Oreochromis niloticus: one gene and its partners. The protein of the gene in region 2 purifies or fractionates together with the protein of the main gene of each other region. This does not show direct contact. Links are inferred from orthologs where the notes say so. Each region holds a gene or a part of one and is shown on either strand. Other genes may lie near its edges.

Evidence for each region. Proteins that work in one complex are often made in the same cells at the same time.
Region 1: the proteins of raf1a (region 2) and bag2 purify together in Homo sapiens (co-immunoprecipitation; 3 studies listed by BioGRID and IntAct, with this or other methods). This does not show direct contact. The link is inferred for Oreochromis niloticus from reciprocal best matches to the Homo sapiens genes RAF1 and BAG2.
Region 3: the proteins of raf1a (region 2) and cct8 purify together in Homo sapiens (affinity purification with mass spectrometry; 4 studies listed by BioGRID and IntAct, with this or other methods). This does not show direct contact. The link is inferred for Oreochromis niloticus from reciprocal best matches to the Homo sapiens genes RAF1 and CCT8.

The regions. Positions count from the first base shown.
Region 1 is NC_031978.2:19,992,639-20,000,363, forward strand, and holds bag2 (BAG family molecular chaperone regulator 2), read left to right. Parts: upstream 1-4,718; 5' UTR 4,719-5,084; coding exon 5,085-5,206; intron 5,207-5,512; coding exon 5,513-5,622; intron 5,623-6,885; coding exon 6,886-7,280; 3' UTR 7,281-7,673; downstream 7,674-7,725. Other genes in the region: E3 SUMO-protein ligase ZNF451, read left to right, coding at 1-988, 1,058-1,126, 2,305-2,370, 2,908-2,987. UniProt on the Homo sapiens protein: Co-chaperone for HSP70 and HSC70 chaperone proteins. Acts as a nucleotide-exchange factor (NEF) promoting the release of ADP from the HSP70 and HSC70 proteins thereby triggering client/substrate protein release.
Region 2 is NC_031984.2:13,896,175-13,904,141, forward strand, and holds the start of raf1a (raf-1 proto-oncogene, serine/threonine kinase a), read right to left. Parts: upstream 3,028-7,967; 5' UTR 2,875-3,027; intron 2,766-2,874; 5' UTR 2,664-2,765; intron 2,318-2,663; exon of another isoform or gene 2,298-2,317; intron 2,063-2,297; exon of another isoform or gene 1,436-2,062; intron 1-1,435. Other genes in the region: cnbpa (CCHC-type zinc finger, nucleic acid binding protein a), read left to right, coding at 6,491-6,608, 6,735-6,800, 6,919-7,117, 7,277-7,394. UniProt on the Homo sapiens protein: Serine/threonine-protein kinase that acts as a regulatory link between the membrane-associated Ras GTPases and the MAPK/ERK cascade, and this critical regulatory link functions as a switch determining cell fate decisions including proliferation, differentiation, apoptosis, survival and oncogenic transformation.
Region 3 is NC_031975.2:13,928,392-13,936,220, reverse strand, and holds the start of cct8 (T-complex protein 1 subunit theta), read left to right. Parts: upstream 1-4,822; 5' UTR 4,823-4,954; coding exon 4,955-5,014; intron 5,015-5,522; coding exon 5,523-5,613; intron 5,614-5,700; coding exon 5,701-5,780; intron 5,781-5,877; coding exon 5,878-6,027; intron 6,028-6,138; coding exon 6,139-6,319; intron 6,320-6,416; coding exon 6,417-6,478; intron 6,479-6,555; coding exon 6,556-6,693; intron 6,694-6,781; coding exon 6,782-6,960; intron 6,961-7,334; coding exon 7,335-7,401; intron 7,402-7,485; coding exon 7,486-7,573; intron 7,574-7,661; coding exon 7,662-7,777; intron 7,778-7,829. UniProt on the Homo sapiens protein: Component of the chaperonin-containing T-complex (TRiC), a molecular chaperone complex that assists the folding of actin, tubulin and other proteins upon ATP hydrolysis.

The DNA.
Region 1 (7,725 bases), on a different chromosome or scaffold from region 2:
AGTCGCTTTCACGGGGGCGCTCATCTCTCCAACTTCCTCTTCTACTGCCGCAAGTGCAAAGTGGAAATGCCTCGGTACGAAGACATCCTGTCACACGTGTCCGGAGCTCACAGCGGACACACGTATTTCAGTGAACAAGAAGTGCCTGAGCAGCTTCCCATAATCGTTGATGTCAAGCCATCCACTAGCAGTGACATCACATTTCACTCCTTGTCTGTGGCCAAAGTCCAGCTGAGCACAGAGGTGTCTTCATCAAAAGTAGAGCAGTCTTGGATGTGCAGGATGTGCGAGGATGTCTTTGACTCGGAGGTTGCCGTCCGCAAACACTGTAGCGATGTTAGTAGTCACAGCTTTCAGAGATTCGTCTGCGGACACTGTCCTCAGAAGTTCTTCAAAGAGTCCACCGTACGGAGACACTGTATGAATGAGCATGATGGGGTCATAAAAACTTCCTATTTCTGCGGCCTCTGTGACAGCATGGAGTTCGGATCTGAGGAGGAGTTTTTTGAGCACTACAAGAATCTTCACAGTAAGGACTACTACTGCATGGATGACGTTGAAGTTGTTCAACCAGATGCCGCCACTGCCGCTGAGAGTACCAGTCAGTTTACATGCCCGTGCATGGGTTCAGAAAAAAGTAAAGCAGACATGAAAGCCACTTACACACAATGCATGAGGAATCTGGCTGCGGAAGAAAAATGCCAGTACATCTGTGTGCCTTGCGATGTATCTGTTCCATCCTATGCACAGATCAAGACTCATGTCCACACAAAACACACAGCCTTGAACCTGGACAGGAGCTTTGACATCAGATGCAAAGACTGCCAAGAGAGTTTTATGGATGTACCGAGTTTCCATAAACACTACCACTCGCAACATTGTACACTGGATCCCTGCATGAGTTCCAGGACCTGCAGGAAAGGCTCGAAAGCAGAACCCACCACTCCAAGAATACCTAATGCTGTGGAGAATAAACCAGAGAGCAACGGTAAATCGGTTAAACTGATTCACATTTAATGTCTTGTGTTTGAATGTTAATTTGTATTCATGTTTGCAGAGATTGACGACGAAACGCTGACAGTTTTCAACACTGATCACACCAATGACAAGAGTGAAGTGCAGGAAGGTAGGCAGTAAACTATACATATATCACTGATATACAGATGAGGCCAGAATTATTAGTCCCCCAATGAATTTTTTTTTTAAAGTGTTGTTAAACAGAGGAAGGAATTTTAATCACAGCTTTTTCAAAAATCCTAGATTTTTATTGGTTACATTATTTTTATTTTGCACACAGGAACCAAATTATTTATACAAACTACCATAGACAAGTGATGAGTCCTCTTGATGCTAATAGGTGGTGTATCCTTTTTGCTGGATAACAGCCTGCAATAGTTGTTTGTAGTTTTCAACTAGTCTCACACACATCGCCTGAGCAATCCCAGTCCATTCCTCTTTGCTGAGTCTCTCAAATGCTTTCAGATTTGATGGTCTCCTGGCATAGACTTTGGTCTTCTGTTTAACCCACATCAAGTCAGCTCTTTGAGCAGTCCAGCCAGTAATGTTGACTTTGGTCTTCTGGAGGTAGTTCTCCACCAGGAGTGACTTATTGTTTATGTCGTCATGTTGGAAGACAAAGTAACTGCTCAGACCCAGTTTTCCTGGTTTTCTTTAAAAATCTTCTCATATCTTTTTTTCCTTCAGGATTTCTTTCACTTTGACAAAGGTGTTTTTCAAGTGATAACTCAAACTCTTTTTGAGGTTCTTATGCTTTCTTTAAATTGGAAGATAAACCCACAGTTTTAATGATTTTACAAGCTTTGAGCATTACAAAAATAAAGCACATCGTTGGACAGTGGTGGTTTTTGCTATAGCTAAATAAAAAGGCCAGTTTTCTCAGGGAGCTAATATTATTGACCCTGGTAATTTTTGTTTTTTTTCTTAAACAATTCTGTTATTGTGTGCAAATACAAATAATTTATGCTTCCTAAAGAAAACTAGTGTGTTTAGTAATCCTATGTTGAAAATCCTTAGCTCTATTGAAAAAGCACTGGGACAAATTTGAAATGGACAAAATGTTAATTTTCATAGGGGACTAATAATTTTGTTGTCACCTGTAACTAGAAAGAAAAGGCTAGATACTAAATAAATGCTACTTCGTTTTTTTTATCTCTTTTCGTCATGAGACCCTAACGGCTGTCTGTTTAAAGAGAACTCTTCCTTTAGCTCAACTGCTAATAATTATTTGCATATTTAATCCTATGAATGTCCTGCTTGGATAAACGACTCTGTATTCTGTTACAGTTGAATCGGATGACGAAATGAAACGCGCGCTGTCTTTGAGTGCAGAAGAAGCGCAAGAGTCAGCAGGTATGTGTATGCAGGGCTGAGGATATAGTCTCTTTCTCTTTTGAACAGTTTGTAAGTCAGTACAATACAACATATTGTCTGTTTTGCTGAATTTATTGTATTGAGATAAACATCCAGTACGTTATGCAATCGGTGATTGTTAACATTGCCCTGCACATTAAGGAATGAAAATGTCGACGGATAACATGCAGGCCTAAAAAAATATTTGAACAGTTGGTTTAGTGAGGTTTATTCCCAGCCTTTTGGGAGAGTTTTTTTTTGTTCTTTTATTAGATAGGAACAGACAGGAAATATGGGATGCAGTGTGATGTGCACTCACAGTCTGGCTGGCCAGGAATCAAACCGTGACTCACTGCTTGGAGGAATTTGAACACATTTAACAAATGTCGAGACAAAGAATGTGTTTGATCAAATTGATGAAAAAGAAACTTGTCTGTAGTTTTGTGTACTAAAATGATGTCAGGCTTACATTTGAGAAAGCATGAACCTGCTGCTTAAATCAGAAAGTAATGTGATGAATTACATCTGTGTAAACAGGCTCTTCAGAAATTCATAAATTACCTTCCTACTGGGGACAAACAGTAAAAGACGGTGACGTGAGCTCAAGCATAGGATGACACAACGTTCATCCGACCATCTCAATCTTCAATGCTCCATGGTTATGAAATATTTTCAGAAAGATGAAGAGAGAAGTCAGTCCTCGGAACAAAAGGCACTCAGAAAGACCATCAGATTACAAGAAAATGCTTAGAAACACCACAGAGGAGTGCTTTGAGCAGGATTACAGACACAGCTCAGTTCAAAGACTATTCGAAGTGTGGGTAGAGGGGAGTGGAAACTATCCAGCTCACAGACTGGGACAGCTAGGCTTAAATTTGCAAATAACACGCACAGAAAGTCTGCAGCTATTGAAGGTGTTATTTTCAGACAAGTCCAAATTTAGCGTTCATGCTGAAACTCCAATCAGTGTCCAGATTTTAGATTTCATCAAAACATGAAATCTAAAACAAAGCAGCTGCCTACTGAAAGAATATTTTTCCCAGGAGAAGATGTTAGAATGATGTCGGCACGGAGTGAGAGTCGATCTTTGTGGCACCTGTGAGACGTCATGAAGAGGGGGGCGGGGAGTGTGGATGACCTAAAGGCTCTGCTGGCTCAAAGACGAAGGAAACATTTTGGGGATCACTATAAATAGATTTGGAGATATGAAAGAATAGAAATGTTAAAGTTATGACATTATGGTCAACATAAAATGTTCTGTGTTGTTGAAATGATGCAGTTTGTAGTGTTTTCCATATGGCCATGCTGGTATGAATGAAGGTTTTCTCGTGTAATTTGTTTTCACAGAGTTGGAAGAAGCTCTCAAAAGAAGCCTCCTGGAGTTCTGAGAAAGTCGGTAGTGCTTTTGTAACATGCTGTTCATCGAACGTTATACTAGAATGTTTTGTACAAGGTAACGTGTTCAGAATATAATAAAGAATTAAATGTTTGTCCTGTTTGGGTTTTTTTTTACTTTTTCTGAGTTTGTCATTATTTGCAGTAAGTGGACACCAAACTGAACCGTGCAGATTTGCAATTTTGTAAGCTTGACACTTGTGAGGAGCCAGAGTGTTTCGACACGTGTGCTATAGATGGCATCCACCACACTGCAAGATGCCTGAGCTGAACATGTGACCACAGTGCTGTGTCTCCAGTTGCGCTCTGTTTTCCAGTGTATTGTATGTCACAGACTCTCTTCGCATGGTGTCATGTGAATCCTGATCTTTCTACGCAAGAATGCTAGATTATTTTTCTTAAGGAAAAAGCTTTTGTGATACCAGAAGTCTGCAATATAAATTCACATAATTTTTGTGCTCCAGAAATGTGTTAATTTGGCGCACACACTTAAGAGTACACTCGAGTAAAACTTGTATACCCAGCAATTAATGTTCCCAAGAGCCCACATGAATAATGTGGGCTCTTGGATAAAATTAACTGCTCATCCCTGCATACACTGATCTGGGTAGCCAATTCCTTTTTATGAATTAACACTGAAAATATGCATTTAGAATCATCGTGTTGTAATCAACTGCAATATATCCATGAAACTTTTCATCCCCTTGGCTGTTACAAGCCAAATATCTGATTTTGGGCAAGTCAGCTAAAGAGCAAAAGCTTTGAGATATTAGTATATTTGATGACACATACAGGTTAGCACTCCTGTTGTAGAATTGCATCTCAGGCTAACTGCAGTGCCAGAGGTGAAGCTGCCTTTGTTGGTGAGGAAAAACTCCTCATTTAATGTAAGGAATTTATGCTATAGTATACATTTTTTATATTTTATAGTACTTGAGTCATTGATAGAAATCACTGTCAGAGTTAAAAGGTTGGTGGTGGATTCAGCAAAGTCTATTAACTAATTTTGTTGGACAAAAAATAGTGACTGTTATCCTATTTTAAATCCTAGCTAGTATTTCTGTGGACCGGACGGCCGTTTCCGTGGTCCTTCAGGGGGTCCTCGGACCCTAGTTTTGAGAGCACAGTTCTGGGCTCCTCGGGAAGCTTCTATGAGGAGAGAGTGAAGGAAGTTGCAGCCCATGTTTGGAAATGTTCTCCCAGGGGCGCTGCAGCAGCAGCCGGTGGAGCTACAGTCAGCTGGACAGCTCGGAGTTGACCGCACACGGGATTTGTTTTTACTCCGGAACGGATCAGCCTTGTGACGGGTATTCATCATCATGGCTCAGGCAAAAATACAGGCGAAGATGAACGAGGCTACCTGTAGCAAGTTCAGCAGGACGCTATCCATGGCAGATCGCTCGGGGCGGCTGCTGGAAAGTTTGGACCAGCTCGAAATGAGGTAGTTAAGTAACGGGCCTTAGCATGTGCTTTATGCTGAGCCACCTATTCAAGCATTGTCGTTTGTGGGATATATATGACTACTCACATCTTCTATAATAAGTTATTATAGCGCTTAAAATGTGCCATAAAAGTAGCTTTAATTTCTTAGCGGTTTTCCGAGAACAGTTAATGATCACATTTTACGCATATGTTTTATAGGTGGATTGCTTTTAGTTCGTAGCTCACAGCCTCATAATCATTACTCTCGCAGTTTAAGGATGCTTTTCAATGGATGGTTATTGTCATGCTTTGTTGTCTCCAACAGGGTGGAGGCTTTACGCGAAGCGGCATCGGCCATGGAGCAGGAAAGGGAGTGCATCCTGGAAATGATTCAATCTCTACAGAACAGTCAAGAAATGCGTAACATCTGTGCTGGTGAGGCGGTTTGCTGACTATCACAACTTGAACGCAAAAGTCACGCGCTGGTTGATGTCACTATAAAGATATAGCCTCCTAGTATCATTTTGTTGTTTTGAATTCCTGTATTTCTGCTCTGATGCCACTGCAACATTGTGATCCAATGAGGACACGCTTTGAAAGTGAACTTTTCTGTTGGGTGGAGGTGGGTTCGTGAATGTCTGAGGATTTAAAGAGTTCCACCCAGGTAGTTGTTTGCAGCTCCTGGATGTCATTTATACATCAACCTCCATTTTAATGAAGGCACTAAACTAGGCTGAACATGCTCATTGAAAACCACCTGCAGTCTGTATCTGATTACCCATATTTCATTTTTTTTTTTTTTCAAAGAAAGCGTCCACTTGCAAAGAAATCATTACAGTGTACAGTATTAGGCAAAAGTCTTGAGCCACTCCTTATTTCTTTCTACATTGACAGTAAAGTGGAAATAAGTGCAGTGATGTAGTAAAACATGCAAAAATAAATGGAAATACAAAATTTATGTGGCAAAACAGAATTTGGGCGACTGCCTTTTGTTCTGTTCTCTGCCAAGACGATCCCACCCTGCTCAGTAATGTTGTGCTTTGGGCTCTGGGGAGTCCAGTCCATTACAGATAGTGTTCCACTATGTGTTTCCTCTGTCTAGCTTTTAATCCATTAGCAATGTGTTTGGGATCATTGTCATGCTGAAAAATGAAGCCAATCAGATGCTTTCCAGATGGTACTGCATGGTGGATCAAAATCTGACGGTAGTTTTCTGTGTTCATAATTCATCAATTTTGACAAGATCCCTAACACCGCTGATACTTACTGCTGTATCTCTTTCGCAACCTCCTCCATACATACTGATGACAGTTTGAGGCAGAAAATTCAAATTCAGCAGACTTGATTTTCTGATACTATTTATCTGCTGTAGATTGTTTTTACACCAGCTGCTTTGTCTCTCAGAGAATTTTTTAGAAAGGTTTTGCAACAAGATGGCCTTGCAGATCTGAAGTGTAGATGTGCAAGCCCACCCTGTTGTTTTACACTGCATAAAATAACTGTGTCCCTGGCTTGTGGTAGATTGAGCACAGTCATGAACATGGAAACTTCAGATAATAAAGACAAGGGCAAGGATTTGAATTTAGATAAATCTAGCCAACATGCTACCCCTTACAAAACCTAGTTACCTGTGGTAATCTTTTCACTTAAAGAGAAAGTATTTATTTATTTTTTTTCCCCATATGTTGTGTCTCTTAGGAGAGAGAGAGGAGTTAACTTTAACTGCAAACCGTTTAATGGGCCGGACGCTGTCTGTGGAAATCTCTGTTGGGACAATCAGAAACCCGCAGCAGGAGGAGGCGCTACAAAAAGCCACATCCATCATAGATGAAATAGTGAAAAAGTTGCTGGACGACATGGAGGGGAGCAGGCAGAAGCTGCTGGCCCTGCACGCCGCATGTGTGACTGAAGCACCGGCCGTTCCCATCAACCAGAAGTTTCAGGCCATTGTGATCGGTTGCGCTCTGGAGGACCAGAAGAACATAAAGCGGAGGCTGGAGACTCTATTGAGAAATGTTGAAAATGCTGAAAAGAACATCAAGATTATGGATCATCAAAAACTGGAGAACACCAAAGCAAACGGTAGTCAATAAGACTCATCACCAAAGCATTAAATGTGCCTTGAATGTTCTCTTTCAGAAGGCTGCTACTTGTAGCAAGAAAAGTGAACAACAAATATCCAGTTTTACCAAATCATTGTCATTTTTACATTGATCTACTTAATATTGGTTACTTAATGTTTATACAATGTACGTGTGTGTTCACATATGCACCTAGTGCAGTAAAAGATGCTGAACAGCAATGAATTAAGTCTCTTTTTGTTTCATTGCCTCACTTTTAAAATTAGGTAGTTGATTTTGTAAGTGCACGCACTACCTCTTTATGTGAAATCAACACAAGATATATGGATTTTAGTTTGTATTTGCACATATGAGTTTTATTTCAGATCACGTGTCAAAAAACTAAATAAACCTGTTGTCTTATGAGTGTCGGGCAGAGACTTCTTTAAATATACAGTACTCCTCAGCAGTCAAGCTC
Region 2 (7,967 bases):
AATACAGACAAGCACGGTTGATTTGTGTGCATGCCATCTACAACTGAATGAAATGGTGACACAGAATGCAAAGGTACCACAACAAAGACATAACTGGTTAATGCAATGACAATTTTTTGCTGCAATCACTAAATATAACCTCAAAGAGTGCAGACTTCTTTGATTATAGCAAGATTAGGCCCAATGCTGATATGAAGGGTATCTAAGCAGGATGCCTAAAAGTGTGACAGGAAACGTAAAAGGAATCTTTCGGTTGTCATCTAATTAGTGGTTATTTGAGTTATAGAAAACCACATTTTGGTTTAAATGTATCACTTAGTAGTCTTGCCATTTAGTTTTGTAAAAGAAATATAGACTAGCTAAAACTATATTAAAACCAAGAAAATCTCTAGCATTCACAGGGGTCGGTCACAGTTACTTACAGACAAGGTTCACAATTATTTCAACATAGGATGAATTGAAACAAATAAAAAAGGGTAGTTTTCATGTCAACTGGGACTTAAATTTACTTCTTACAACTTAAGGTTTATGTACCCATCACAAATAAATAGGTTACTGCCCCCCTTCTGCTTTGTTTTCAATACAAACTATAGCACTTTACACAGGTCATCACATTTAGTAGGTATACCCTAATTTTCTGTGGTATCACTTAAACAAAGCCCTGTTAGCACTGAAGAGATCATTTACAGTAGTTACTGGTTAGCTGTCACAGCAGGTACACAGGCTTTTTTTTTTTTTTTTCAGAAGTACAGAAAAGCAGGAACTTGCAGAACTGTGGCTGGGCCACCTTCCCCACCATGCTGCTGGAACTGTGTCCAAAACAAGTGCTGTCACCCATCCAGGAAAGAGCCTCAAGAGAAAACGTGTTTGCCAAATCTAGAATAATTAAGATTTTACTCCCATCAGCTTTGATCTGTTCTTCATAGCAAGACAGTCTAAGCAACACAAGCCCACATCAGTGGTGCATCCACATAAGATCCTGTGACAAGTCTCCAAAGTCGCAAATGTAGGTGAGAGCAATCTCAGCAGGTTAGCATTATTTGTAGGTATTAGGTTGAGGGGATCACTTGACTTTTGAGTTTTTAACTTTGTCCAATTAAATAAAAACGTGCTGCTGAAAAAGACAAGGTACGGCTATAACCGAAGTGCGTGAGTGCTTTGTTCTGCTACAGCAGCTATTAGAAGTTACGTGTTTTATAAGGCCTGGTTGATCCAGTTATAACTATGAAATTGCCTGAAGGCCGTCAGACGCGGACTATATCGTCAAACTTCACTGCACGGCTCCGTTCGCCCTCCATTCAATTTTCTCTTGCTCAAACGATTCATTTCTTTGGTAATGCGAGTTGTGGTGAAGCGTTTTTAACTAAAGAGTTAGCACTTCAAACATGAGTCAAAGAGTAGCAATGCTAGGGGCCAGTAGCCTGTATATGCTCACCATGAGAAGTTAAAAAAGTTGTGCTCCGCCATAACTTCAGGAAAAAGTGGCCTCGGTGACATCATCATATTTGCAACGCATTCAAAGAAAAGAGGAATAATTCCAAGTCGGTAAAGATCCAGACACTGTATCAAATAACCCTGTATCCGGTAAATGTTGCATTAATGTAAGAGGGTAAGGTCATAGGCGGGTCTCCTTTTCGAACCACCCAAAATAAGAGAAGAAAAAAAGTTTTCTTCCTCTTCTTTTTTTTTTTTTTTTAATCTCCAATTCGTGGTAAAAGCGAAAAAATCCGTCTGTCCGTCGGACCCTCAAAGTGACACGACGAGGGATATTCTTCAAATCCAGCGAAGCACTTTCAAATTAAAACCTCCCCCCACAAAAAGTAGGTCCGCAGTGCTTCGCTTTGCAGCTCAATATTTACGTTGTTCGGGAGAAGAAGGTGAAGCAGTTTAAGTTGGTGTCGTGCGTCCGGCTGACGCCACTGATTGAAACAGGACCTTGCAGTCATATCAAGAGTTGCAAGCATCACTCACACTGCGCAACTACAGCACAAACTAAGCCCTCCCACTTTACTGGTATTGTCGTTTTTTGTGCTCATAAAAGAGTGAGTATGATTATATCTGAATCTACTGGGTTCGCAATATCATTACATATAAGATACTTTGTAGCCATATTGTGCAGCTTACGCCACCTTTCATACTATCGTGCGGAGAGCTCATACTTGCAAAAACATGTTTTTTCTTTTCCTCAAATGGTACTGCGCATGAAAAATTAACATGCATTTAAATTATTATTATTATTATTATTTTAAAGTTTTCGCAAAAGTATCTTTTGAAAAGCAAGCGAAAAGGCCCACTACCGGTTTGGTGTGAAGGAGTAATCCTCTCCAAGGGCACCATCATCTGGAGACTTTGGGGCAGTGCAATTTTGTAGACCTGGACATAATTTTATAGCCTTTTCACCTCTTAATGCTAAAATTCTTATACTTATGTGGCAAAAAGGACAATGGAGTCTTGTGGTAAGCCATGCAGGCTGCAGCTATTAAAAAAAATTTAACTAATACAAAAAAACAAATCTCACTTATAATGTGCTGGACAGAAATGCGTCATTGTTTTATTTCTATTAGATTTTAATATGCTTTTCAAACATCCCAGCTGTTTCTTATGATCTAACACCGCCACTTCATCCTACCCAAAGTAGTACATTATGACAGTATCGAACTCACCATGTGTTCACCATCTCTGTTGCTTCCAGGTCTGGGTCCCCTGAGGTGTCCTAATCACAGATGGTTCATAAGGTCTTTTGAGCAAGCTGTAGTTGACACCATCTGAAAATAAAACACCACGTTCCAGTCAGTGGTTGATTAAGCATCCTCGTGTTGTTTTCATATAGCACTAGTAGATTATTTTAGTCAAACAACAAAATCAAAAACCTACCATCCATAATCCAGTTCAACAGTAAACCCTACTTTCAGTTCTCATATGTAACTTTCCAACGAGGTCTTCTTTTCTGAAAATGACAGATATTCAACCCAACAAGTAACAGAAACACCGAATACTGTTTCTGTGAAGATGAGGGCAGGGCTTTGTCATTGTGGATCATTTTAAGGTACCCCACTCCACATACAATAGGAGCACAGTTTATCAGTCAGTGAGATATATTAAAATTCTCTTAATCTGTGCAGAAATATGCTTTACAGGTGGTTATATTTTGCCAGATCTCCAGTAAAGATTGTGAGCTGCAAAATTAAGACTAGAAAGGAGAGAAATTGCAACCCTGAAGGCAAACAACCAAAGCCACCTTAAGACTGAGATGAATGCATTTCCCACTTATTGATTTGGCACAGCACTCAGACCAGTTAGCTGAGATGCTTGCAGCTCCCACAGATTGTCTCTCTATCAGTTACCCTGTATTCAAAATGTGATGCAATTAGGAGTTTTTGAAGAGCTGGGGTTGTGCAAATGAGAAATCACCAGCTTGAAACACATACCCTTGTACTCTTTATCATAATCAGTGTTACAGGTTTATTGATAATGACATTCATATCCCAGATCCTTACAAGTTTTCAGAAATACATGTTAATGTTCATTTCTTAACTTTGGGCACTCACAAACACAACAGATTGCCTGTAAACAGTAAATTCTGATATGCTTAATAAGAGGAAAAACAGTGTAATGTAACATTTTTAACATATTTATTATTCACTGTGCTATTCTCTTAATTGACCTAATAACGCAAAATAATTTGAGATAATTCCAGTGTTGCTTGATTGCTCTGAGTCAGAGATTATGACAACAATACTCCAGTCTTTGCCAATTCACATCAAACACATTTAAACATTTTCAACTGCCTGGATTAACAAGACAAATGTCTAAATTGCTTATTGTATTAATTTTGTAAACAAAGCTGCTTCTGAAATCTTTCTCAGCTAATGTCAATTTAAGTTGTGTTAAATCAAACTCTTAAATCAAGTCTCTATGATAGAGGCATACATGTACAGCCAACATTTTTGTTAAATATTGTGAGAGCAAAGGCTGTACTTACTTTTTTATTTAGATATGGCCTATGGGGACATCCAGACCAACCAGTTTTTAACTTGCTCAGAGTCCTATAGGCAAATTAACCTCAGTAAACTGAAGCAAGATGATAAATAAAAACTGTCACGTAGAAACCTTTTCAGTTTCCAGATTAAATGTGAAGAACTGTGAGCATTTTGTATGGGCAAGCTAACTGTATCCATGCTGTGACTCTCACATGTGGTTAATTTTTGAAGAACGTCCTATTAATAGTTAATAAAAGCACTGTGTTGTATTGCAGTCGCAGTGGTAGTGTGAGAAGTGTAGTGCAGGTAAAGTGAAGACTATAACATTCTCTAGCGTTTGTTTTAAGAAGCTTTTAAATGTTGAACATGATGAGGGGGGAAAAAATAAGGTCAGTCGATTAAGGGAAAAGGGACCGTTCTAAAGCCACGATTGGCTGATTCATAGAGGCGGTGTCCAGAGCCTCTCATGTGTGATTGGCCGCTCGCAGAGTAGTCGACCAATGACTGTGTGAGCTTTTAATGGATACGGTGAATGACAATTCAGGAACTCCTGCTCGCACCGCATGTAGCGCAAAGAAGGAGGCGTAAACACTGACATAGCTAGGTAGCCATCAAGGTAAGCAATAAAACGACATTAAAAATACTTTCATCAATTTACGTTGTATATCTTTTAACTTTGAAACGAAGGCATGTTAAGATTGATGTTAACCTTTACTTGAGCGTTTAATCGAATTTCTTTTTTCTAAAATACGCACTGGTTTAGTTTAGACTCACTAACGAAGCGTCGGGATCTTGGTCAGGCCCGCTAATGCTAGCTCGTCACAACGACTTTGGTGTTTGCGCCCTGCGCGGGAAATTTTATACTTATGGTAAATTTACTGAAATCCCTGCGAAAACAATGTATTGTGAAAATGTATCGCTATAACAGTGGGTGAGACACTTTTCTATATGGGGAAAGAGGACTGATCGTCGACTGAACCGTGCTTCTTGATCGTGGTCGTGAGGTGGTGTGCTAGCATGTGCTAGCCAGCAGCATTGGTGTCTCGCGAGTACGCAGAAAAATCAACGTGACTAGGCCCGTGTTAGCGTAGCTTCAACCTTTTGGCATTTGATTTCTGTTTTGGAAGCGCAAAATATTTCTGAAACATGTAGTCAGATATGTACATTTAACAGGCATACAGTTTGTTTGTTTTTTAACGACTCGAGTTATCGTGCTATTGTTTGTACCTCGAGTTTGCTGGTATCATTGAAGGCGTTAAATCAACAAATCAACGATGCGACATGCTGGCCTCTGAAGCTAGCTTTCTAAGTAAGCATGCTTTCGTGGTTATTTACGTAGCAGTCGGCAGTGGGTGGCATTAAATTGATTGTTTTAACGAGGATTACTTCATCACGGCTTTCTCCATCAAATCGAGGCGCGTTGGGTGTCCCCATGTGGCCCGTGGATAAACGTTATACGAAATTTTAGAAGGCGTTTAGTGACGAAAGTTGAAGTGGGACGGACACCTGGATGGACAGTAAAACAAAAAAGAAACAAGCTTCACTGTATGCAAAGTCAATAAAATCTATCTGACTCATTAGGTTGCCCCAGGTCTTCTTTTGGGATGGGTAATACGGGAGAATTGATTACTCATTAACTCACATTCTTCCTGATTTGATGTCTTCAGCACTATCAGCAAACAGAAGTTTGACCTAGGGCAATTACAGCATGATCCCGCTGAGGAAGCCTTGTAAGTTAGTTTAGTAGTTGAGTGTAGTCTGGTGGTCAGTTATGATAGACTAGAGCTTGGCAGAAGAAAAAAAACAAAACAACAACTATTGTTTGATTTTTAGATTAGATTCCCCCCCTTCCCCTGGTAGTCATTATACTAGAATGACTCCTGTAGTAACTGTGCTTCAGTTGTGATGTAAAGGTGTTTGACTCTGGCATAAGCAATTTTAAACATGAGACAATAAGAGTTAGCCTACTTTGACCACCCTTGAAAATCATTATTATTTTTGTTATATTCATGTAATTTTTGATGTTAGGTACTTGTGACAGAATTTTTTCTTTAGCCTTAAATTGTTTCATCAATTAAATTGCAAGATTTTTTGATAATCTAAATGTGAAATAGTGGTCTGCACATAGAGATGGATTTAGATTAATGTGCAGATTTCACATTTAAACTTCATTCTAAACTTACATTCTATAGATCACAGTTTAACACAAACTGGTATCCAAATTTAGCACCAGTAAAGGGCATTTCTTTCATCTACAATGTCCATACATGTACCTCTCAGAGGTTAGACTTAAGTTGGACTTGATGGTCACATCAAAACTGGAAGTTTGGAGAGTGCCAAAGATGATAGCCACATTCTCCAAGGGGAAAGGGGGGGGTCTTTGTTGAAACTAATGCAAAAGCTAACATGAACAACTGAAAAACAGTTGAAAGTCAGTGTTCATAAGGATCATTGAGTACATGAAACGATGTGTTAACTAATTTCTGTTTTTTTGTTTTTTCTTCAAGGTAATGGAGATGAGCAGCAACAGTGAGTGCTTTGGATGTGGCCGCTCTGGACATTGGGTCAAGCACTGCCCTAATGCCAGTGGTTCGCGTGGCCGTGGCAGGGGACGAGGACGAGGCAAGGGTACTATACTATTCTTGCCACACCCAATATAAACTGGATTTAATTATAGAAGGCATGGGTGAAAATGAAAGGAAAAACTCAATTCTTGTAGTTTTCTGCTTTGCTTATCTATCTGTGTCATTACAGAGCTGTTCTGTTATCGGTGCGGAGACCAAGGACACATGGCCAGGGACTGTGACCAAACTGAGGATGGTGTGAATTCCATTTGTTTTTCTTCAATTCAGTTTTACTTGGTACCGATTTTTCCCAGAAATGTTTTTTTCTTTTAATCATTTTTTTTTAATGTCAAACTGTTTCAATTTTTCCCCAGCGTGCTACAACTGCCACAGGAGTGGTCACATTTCCCGGGACTGCAAGGAGCCCAAAAAGGAGAGAGAGCAGCTCTGCTACACTTGCGGGAAAGCTGGTCACATGGCCCGTGACTGCGATCACGCCAATGAGCAGAAGTGCTACTCCTGCGGTGGGTTTGGCCACATCCAGAAGCTGTGCGATAAGGTGAAATGTTACAGGTAAGTATGGTTCTGTTAGGAGAAGCACGCTTGGTCCTATAGTTTGACAACATTTCTACTATTTTGAAGCCCTCCAATTCTAATCTTTAGGTATACTTGGGTTCTGTGTTAATTTTAGAGTCCGCTTTTATCGCACTCACCAAATTCTTTCTTTTTCAGGTGTGGTGAGATTGGTCACGTTGCTGTACACTGCAGTAAAGCAAGCGAGACTAACTGCTACAACTGCGGAAAGGCAGGCCACCTGGCAAAAGAGTGCACCATTGAAGCCACCGCATAATCAGTGCCCTCTGTTGCCCCTCCTTTTTTCAGATTGATGGTTGGTTGTATTATTTTCTCTGAATCCTCTTCACTGGCCAAAGGTTGGCTAACAGAGGCTAGTCCCAGGCCAGTGAGCCTCTCGACATGTAATACAAAGAAAGGGGTGAAAAAAATATCTTTCTGCATTCAATACAAAAAATGTTTTAGTTTGGTAGCGGTGTTATGTATAATGCTTTGTTAAAGAACCCCCCTTTCCAAGCCACTGGTGACCAGAGATGAATAAACGGGACTAAACATATGGGAATCTATAGGACCTCTGAGCTTGTGGAAGTGTATCTCAGTAAAATGAGATAGAAGAAGGGAGTAAATGGAAACCAAACTTCCATGTATGGTTATTTTGGTTTGTTTTAGTGGGATATGAGTTGGCCAAGAGAGTATGACATGGAAACAGTTCATAACATGATGCATTTCAGCCCTACAGCAGCTAAGTGGGCGATAACAAACTACATGTTATATTACTAAGATATAAAAATTTTGGAGTTGTTAAAAGAAACATGCTCTTTTATAGAAATCTGTTTACAATTTAAGTAAC
Region 3 (7,829 bases), on a different chromosome or scaffold from region 2:
GACTGACCAACAATTTCAGTACGAGACAGGATATGAATCCCTGGAGACTCGATGCTTAAAACTTAAAAGCCTTGATGACCTTGAACAAGTAATGATGTTTACACAAGGACCTGAAAATGGCCAACGTTTGTTTGTCAGCCTAATTAAACAGATGTTGGCCTTGGATGCAAACCAGCGCATAACACCTTCGGAGGTTCTCCAGCATCCCTTTTTCGACCCTAAGAGTTCCCTGTGCATTGACACGAGTAGCACAAGAGGACAAAACCCTGTGGTCTTTCAGCAGCCTTCAAACTTGAAAAGTAAGAGATCACAGAAAATCAACTGCAGTTTCCAAAACTCTGTTGAATTTTCTCAACAAGTGCACATCAACATGTCAGCCAGCCCATCCTTCAGCTCAGATGAGCTTGAAATAGTTGAAGGGAGCATTTTGGGAAACCACTACAAGGTAGAGGCTTTACTTGGAGAAGGGGCCTTTGGTATTGTAGCCAAATGTCGCAACACAAAAACCAACCAAGCTATTGCCATTAAAGTCAACAAGAGCCGCCCTGATGTTCAGCAAGAGGCAAAACTGGAAATTTTCATCCTGGAGCAGCTGCGACAGTTGGATCCAGATGCCGCCAACATTGTTAAATGGGACGGCTTTTTCCAAGACGGAGAGCGGGTTTGCCTAAAGTTTGAACTCCTTGATCAATGCCTGTGGGACTACATACGGGACCGGAATAACCAGGGTCTCCCCATAAGCGAATTCAGGCCAATTTTAGGTCAACTCACAAGTGCTCTGTCCCACCTGGGTTCTGTGGGAATAGTGCACGCTGACCTCAAACCTGGAAACATCATGGTTGTAAACCGCCATGAGTCTCCAGTCAAAGTCAAACTCATAGACTTTGGCCTCGCATGTCCTGCGTCTGCAGTGAATCCTAGTGACTGCGTGGGGACAGTTGGTTATAGTGCACCTGAGGTTGTGCTTGGCCTTCCTTATAATGAAGCAAGTGACATGTGGTCTCTGGGTCTGGTAGCTGTGGAGCTTGCTACAGGGGTGCCACTCTACCCTGCGGAGAATGAGTATGATTATCTGAAATTCATCATAGAGACTCAGGGTCAGCTACCAGATCATGTTCTAGACTCTGGCATTTACACTGATGACTATTTCATTGAAGACAACTACAAGCAACAGCGCTGGACATTTAAGACTGACCAACAATTTCAGTACGAGACAGGATATCCATCCCTGGAGACTCGATACATAAAACTTAAATGTCTCGATGACCTCGAACAAATAATGAAGGTTAGACGAGGACCAGAAGATGGCCAAAGCTTATTTGTCAGCCTGATTAAAAAGATGTTGGCCATAGATGCACACCAGCGCATAACACCCTCGGAGGTTCTCCGGCATCCCTTTTTCAACCCTGGCCTCTCTAACAGCTTCCCATGTATTGCCATTGAGAGACCACACAGAATCAATCTCCAGAAGGGAGAAACAAAAGTCTGGATCATTGGGTCAAGCTACATCAGACGAGGCGAGAGTGACGCAAAAGAGATATTCGGAGAAAATTTCGGACTTAATGCCAAAGTCCAGTGGTTTGGCAAAGGAGGGATGCGCTGGAGTGGAGTCCTTCCTCGTTTTTATGAGGAGCTATCCACACAGAGCCCACCTGACATATTGGTAATCCATGCTGGGGGAAATGATTTGGGACTCATGTCTGCTTATCAACTTTCTTCTGTCATTGAGAAGGAATTGATGCAATTGCACACAGAGTTCCCCTCAATGAAAATTGTATATTCATCCATCAACGAGCGTCAAGTGTGGAGATATGGAAATCCAGGCCAAATCAATAAGGACAGAAAGATCGTGAACGCCAGCATTAGAAAGGCTGTCAACCGCTTTGCTGGAGTGATTATTGAGCATCCACGCTTGAGGTTTTTCAACAACTCAATTTTTTTACCCGACGGAGTTCATTTAAACAAGAAAGGAAATGAACTGTTTCTGAAAAGCATCCGCTCGGCCATCCAGCAAAGTCTTCAGTCACCTCACAGAAAAGTGACTTGAGGGATTTCCTTCACAGTCCAGAAAACCACATGTTGTTCATTTTAGGCAATGTGAGCAACACATATCTAAATTGTGCTCTCATTTTTCTTTTCTTTTACCTCTCACCACCCAACCAGTCATGACAGATGGCTGCCCCTTTCTGAGCCTGGTTCTGTCAAAGGTTTCTTCCTGTTAAAAGGAAGTTTTTCCTTTCCACTGTTGCCTAGTGCTTGCTCTCATAGGGGATCATTTGATTGTTGGGCTTGAATTTAATTTAATTTAATTTAATTTAATTGGATTGAACAAAATTTTAAAAATTCAGGTGAGAGGTCCAAATTGTAGGGAGCACTACAAAATCTACAAATAAAAAAATTGTCATTAGCAGCAAATCAAAATAAAGAAAAAAAAAATTGAAAAACATCTCTTACTGCTCTGTTTATTTACTTAAATGAACACTTGTACTTTTTTGTCATAGAAAACTATTAATATAAATAGAATAGAATAGAATAGAATAGAATAGAATAGAATAGAATTCAACTTTATTGTCATTGCACATGTCACAGGTACAGGGCAACGAAATGCAGTTTGCGTCCATCCAGAAAGTGCTTTAGTCGTGATATAGATATATTACAATATATATTAGCAATAATAGAGATGTGTAAGTATATTACAGAAATGGGTCTATTATGGTATGTTATAATGTACACAGTGTGAAGTATGTTATGAATATTCTATAACTATAAGTATGTACAGGCTGTAGTGAGTACAAGCTATGTACAGGCTATGAACAGGATATAAATATGAAATAAAAACTATACAGAAATCTGAGATATACAGTTATACAGAAATGTGAACTATGTAAGTTATAAACAGTTGTGGGATTAAAAATTATCGTATGTACAGAATGATTATTTACACAGAACTATACAGTAGTGGTAAAGTGCTAGTGGTTGTGGGTGTGTGTATGTTCAGTCCATGAGTTTAACATGGGTCAGATGTCAGGAGGCAGAGTTCAGGAGTCTGACAGCTGTGGGGAAGAAGCTGTTCCGGTACCTGGTGGTCTTAGTCCGGAGGCTCCTGTAGCGCCTCCCAGAGGGCAGGAGGGTGAAGAGTCTATGTGATGGGTGACTGGGGTCTTTGATGATTTTCCCAGCCCTTTTCAGACACCGCTTCCTGTAGATGTCCTTTATGGCAGGAAGTGGTGCTCCGGCGATGCGCTGGGCAGTTTTCACGACCCTCTGCAACGCCTTCCGGTCCGAGGCAGAGCAGTTCCCGTACCAGACTGTTATACAGTTGGTCAGGATGCTCTCGATGGTGCAGCGATAGAAGTTCACCAGGATGTCTGAGGACAGGTGGTTCTTCCTCAGAGTCCTCAAGAAGAAGAGGCGCTGGTGAGCCTTCTTGACCAGCTTGGAGCAGTTGGTCATCCAGATGAGATCCTCGGAGATGTGGACTCCCAGGAACTTGAAGCTGCTCACACGCTCCACAGCCATCCCCTTAATGTGGATGGGTGGATGTGGGTCAGCATTCCTCCTGTAGTCCACGATGAGCTCCTTAGTCTTCTCAGTGTTAAGCAGCAGGTTGTTTGTGTCGCACCACTCAGCCAGACGATCCACCTCCTCCCTGTAGGCGGTCTCATCGTTGTTGCTGATGAGGCCAATCACCGTGGTGTCATCTGCAAACTTAATGATGGTGTTGGAACCATCAGCAGGTCTGCAGTCGTGGGTGAAGAGGGAGTAGAGGAAAGGGCTCATCACACAGCCTTGTGGTACACCGGTGTTCATTGTGATTGTTGATGAGCAGCGGTTATCCAGTCGGACATGTTGGGGGCGGTTGGTCAGGAAGTCCAGTAACCATTTGCAGATGAGGGAACTGATGCCCAGGTCTGTCAGTTTCCTGATGTGAACACCAAGGAGTTAGTTGGCCTGCACTAACTACTGGCATACTATTATTCTGTGGCAAAACCCTGTCAAATCTGCCTTGGTGCACCTGTTGAAAAACTGCATCTAAATCCAAGACCCTAACTCCCATCAAAACAGCTTTTGAACTATGAGGATCCCAAGGAATTGTTCTACACAACAGTGTCTCTTTTATCCTTGTGGTGTCAAAAATGTGATGACAGAAGCAATTTAAAAAGTGGGGTCGTTCCTGCTGTTGAGACAAACTCCTGACTAAAAATACAATGTGTTTCTATGGGTCAGTTAGAAGGTTATCCCTCTACTTTGAGCCACACAATTCAAAAAGTTCAAATCTCTGAGCGTTGGCTCTAGGTCAACGTATGTCAAAGTAGATAGAGTTGGAAGAGGAGTAAGTTGAATGAGAATTTGAAGGGTCTCCCCATTGAAATCCGTTATAATTTTTTGTTGAATAAAGTTGAATAATTTAAAAAATATAAAAGTTAAAAGTGAGAAAAATAGAAGCAGTAATGTCCAAAAGAAGAGGAATCGAATGGTGGTTGAATGGTTTTTCTACGTTGAACGGTTTTGAAGGAGTTAGATGCCAAAAAACGTATGGAATATATAAAACGGAATAATAAAGATTACAACAACAATACTGTGAATGCTAATAATTCATTATATTTGTAATATTTCATGACAAATGATAGAAATTTGACAAAGCAAGTAAACAACAGGAAATCAGAAATGCCATCTGTCGTACTTTACTTGTGTTTCTTTGGTGAGGTAGCTTAAAGTCATTGACTTGGGTTTCATTATAGTAACACATGACGGTAAGAGTGCCCCCGTGTGGTGTTTTACGATCACTGCGCGGTGAAACGAGAATCGCTCTGTTTGTCCTTTGTTGTCACCCGTCTGTAGCTCGCTGCCTCGCTGAAGTCGCTCCACCTCTGCCTCTCCGGCTTTGTACCCAGAGTTGAACCCACGCCGCGGCTACCTTCTCTAGGATACCGGGGCTGCTAAAAATTTGAAAATGGCCCTCCACGTCCCAAAAGCTCCGGGCTTTGCCCAGATGTTAAAGGATGGCGCCAAGGTGGGGTTAAATTAGGAATATCGGGCTCGTAGATAAGCTTTGACTGAGTAGTTGTGAAGAAGCGTGCTTGCTAGCTAACGTTAGCCGCTGAGTTAGCTTGTTCATTCAGAGTCATGAGGGATAGTTCTAGAAAGCGGCAGCCAGGCCGCCCAGCCGGCTGCTGGACGAAGGTCTGTTAGGGAAGATGAAATGCTTATTCTTGATATTTCACTGTCTCCCTTCAGTCTAAACCGTGCTAAATATAGCAGCAGCAGCGGTTGAGCTGCTGTTATAACGGGATGTCACACTGCAGTCACACCCAGCTAGCATTCAGCTAACTGTCAGTACTGTCAGCTTAAAGTGATGCCGATGCTTAATGGAATGCTTACATTCTCAGACTATCCATATTATATCCAGTTATTTGCTTTTAACATATTCATGGTTAGGTAGTAAGCTAAATATATTAGTCTGACGTGGAAATGAACGGTAATGCACCTGTCTTGAAAAGCTGATTTCTTGTCTGTTAAAGCACTTTTCAGGTCTTGAAGAGGCTGTCTTCCGTAATATCAGAGCTTGTAAGGAACTTTCTCAAACCACCCGCACTGCCTATGGGCCCAACGGTAAGTTTGGTCTGCCTACAGCCTATTAGGGTCGTGCTCTGCAAAGATATCAAAGCAGCACCCGTTAAATGAAGTGTTTTCTTTTAGGTATGAACAAAATGGTCATCAACCATTTAGAGAAGCTGTTTGTCACCAATGACGCTGCAACAATTCTCAGAGAGCTTGAGGTGAGGAGACAATGTTGTGCACCTCACTGAAATTCAGCTGAGTGCATAATAAATGTATGAATTTAACTGTTTATGTAAATTCTTGTTTGTTTTACAGGTGCAGCATCCCGCAGCTAAAATGATTGTAATGGCGTCCCACATGCAAGAACAGGAAGTCGGCGATGGTACCAACTTTGTCCTGGTGTTTGCTGGAGCTCTGCTGGAGCTGGCTGAAGAGCTCCTTAGAATGGGCTTGTCTGTTTCAGAGGTAAACAAGATAATATTAGTAAAGTAGCATGGCTTAATGTCATACATGTGCATGTCACAGTGCTATGATTGGTGCATTTTCTCAGTGCCCCCTTTTTCTTCTTTGCCACAGGTGATTGAAGGCTACGAGAAGGCTTGTAAGAAGACTCTGGAGATCCTGTCAGACTGTGTTTGCTCCTCAGCCAAGAACCTCCATAACATTAATGAAGCCAAGTCGCTCATCCGTACAGCAGTCATGAGTAAACAGTACGGCAACGAAGACTTCCTTGCCAACCTCATTGCAGAGGCCTGTGGTGAGTCAGAAGTGCACACTATCTCAGACTCGATTGTCTCGATTTTAGCATTGCCTTGGTATTTTTCTGACTTCCTTTTTCTCCCCTCTTTGTGCAGTATCAATCTTCCCAGAGTCCGGCAATTTCAATGTTGATAACGTCAGAGTATGCAAGATTTTGGTAAGCAGCATCTTCTGTTGGTTTTATTTTGTGTGCGTATGCAGTTTGGCCTCTATTAACATTTGTGGTCATTTTAGGGTTGTGGGGTGACGGCATCCTCTATGCTTCATGGCATGGTTTTTAAGAAAGAGGCAGAGGGAGACGTCACATCAGTGAAAGAAGCCAAGATCGCCGTTTTCTCCTGCCCCTTCGACTGCATGGTGACAGAGACCAAGGTAAGTGGAGGTGACTGATATATAAAGTTTAATGAAGATGATGCTGACATTGCTCTCTGTGCTGACGATAGTCCCTTCTGTTCCACAGGGCACAGTGTTGATAAATAATGCACAGGAGCTCATGGACTTCAGTAAAGGAGAGGAGGATTTGATGGAAGCTAACGTGAAGGCGATCAAGGAGGCTGGTGCCACTGTGGTGGTAACTGGGGGGAAAGTGGCTGACATGGCGCTGCACTACGCCAACAAGTACAAACTCATGGTGGTCAGGTAAGAACTACAAAGCCTAAAGTGGGCAGGGAATGTATCTTATACAAAGCGCAAGACATTTAAGGCAAATTCAGTCTGAGTTTCTGCTTCTAGTCGAGCTTATTGTTTTATGTAATTTGCTTAAGAGATCACGTTTCTCCCAAGTAAAGGATTGATCTTTTTGCTAATACAGATGGTCTTTTCATGGCCACGTAGGACTAAAACTTTTATTTTGAAGGTGCAAGATGTAACTGTATCTGCATTTCTTTTAGGAAATTTAAATAAATATCTGATGCTGTATGTTAAATATTACATGATTTATAATAATATAATATAATGTATCTTTGGCATTGTGTGTTTCCCAGCCATAAACGTTCTTTTTTCCTTCTCGTCAGGCTTAACTCCAAGTGGGACCTCAGGAGGTTATGCAAGACTGTGGGAGCTGTAGCTCTGCCCAAGATGGTGAGTGTACACTTGTGTTTATCAGATCAGGCATTTGAAAGAGCCGTCCATTTTTAACCATAAATACATTTTTGTCATCCTTAGATGGCTCCGACTCCGGATGAGATGGGTCACTGTGACAGTGTATATCTGACTGAGGTGGGAGACACTCAGGTGGTGGTCTTCAAACATGGTAAATGACTCCTTTCTTCAGGCTTGTGAATCTTTAATTTAAACCTTTCTGAGTTAACCTGTTGGTTGGTGCTGACACTTTCAAACAGATAAAGAGGATGGTGTCATCTCAACCGTGGTGATCAGAGGTTCCACTGACAACCTCATGGATGATATTGAGAGGGCTGTAGATGATGGAGTCAACACCTTTAAAGTTCTGGTCAGGGTAAGTAGACATAAGTCAGAGTGGGGTTTTTTTTTTTTGTTTTTTGTTTTTT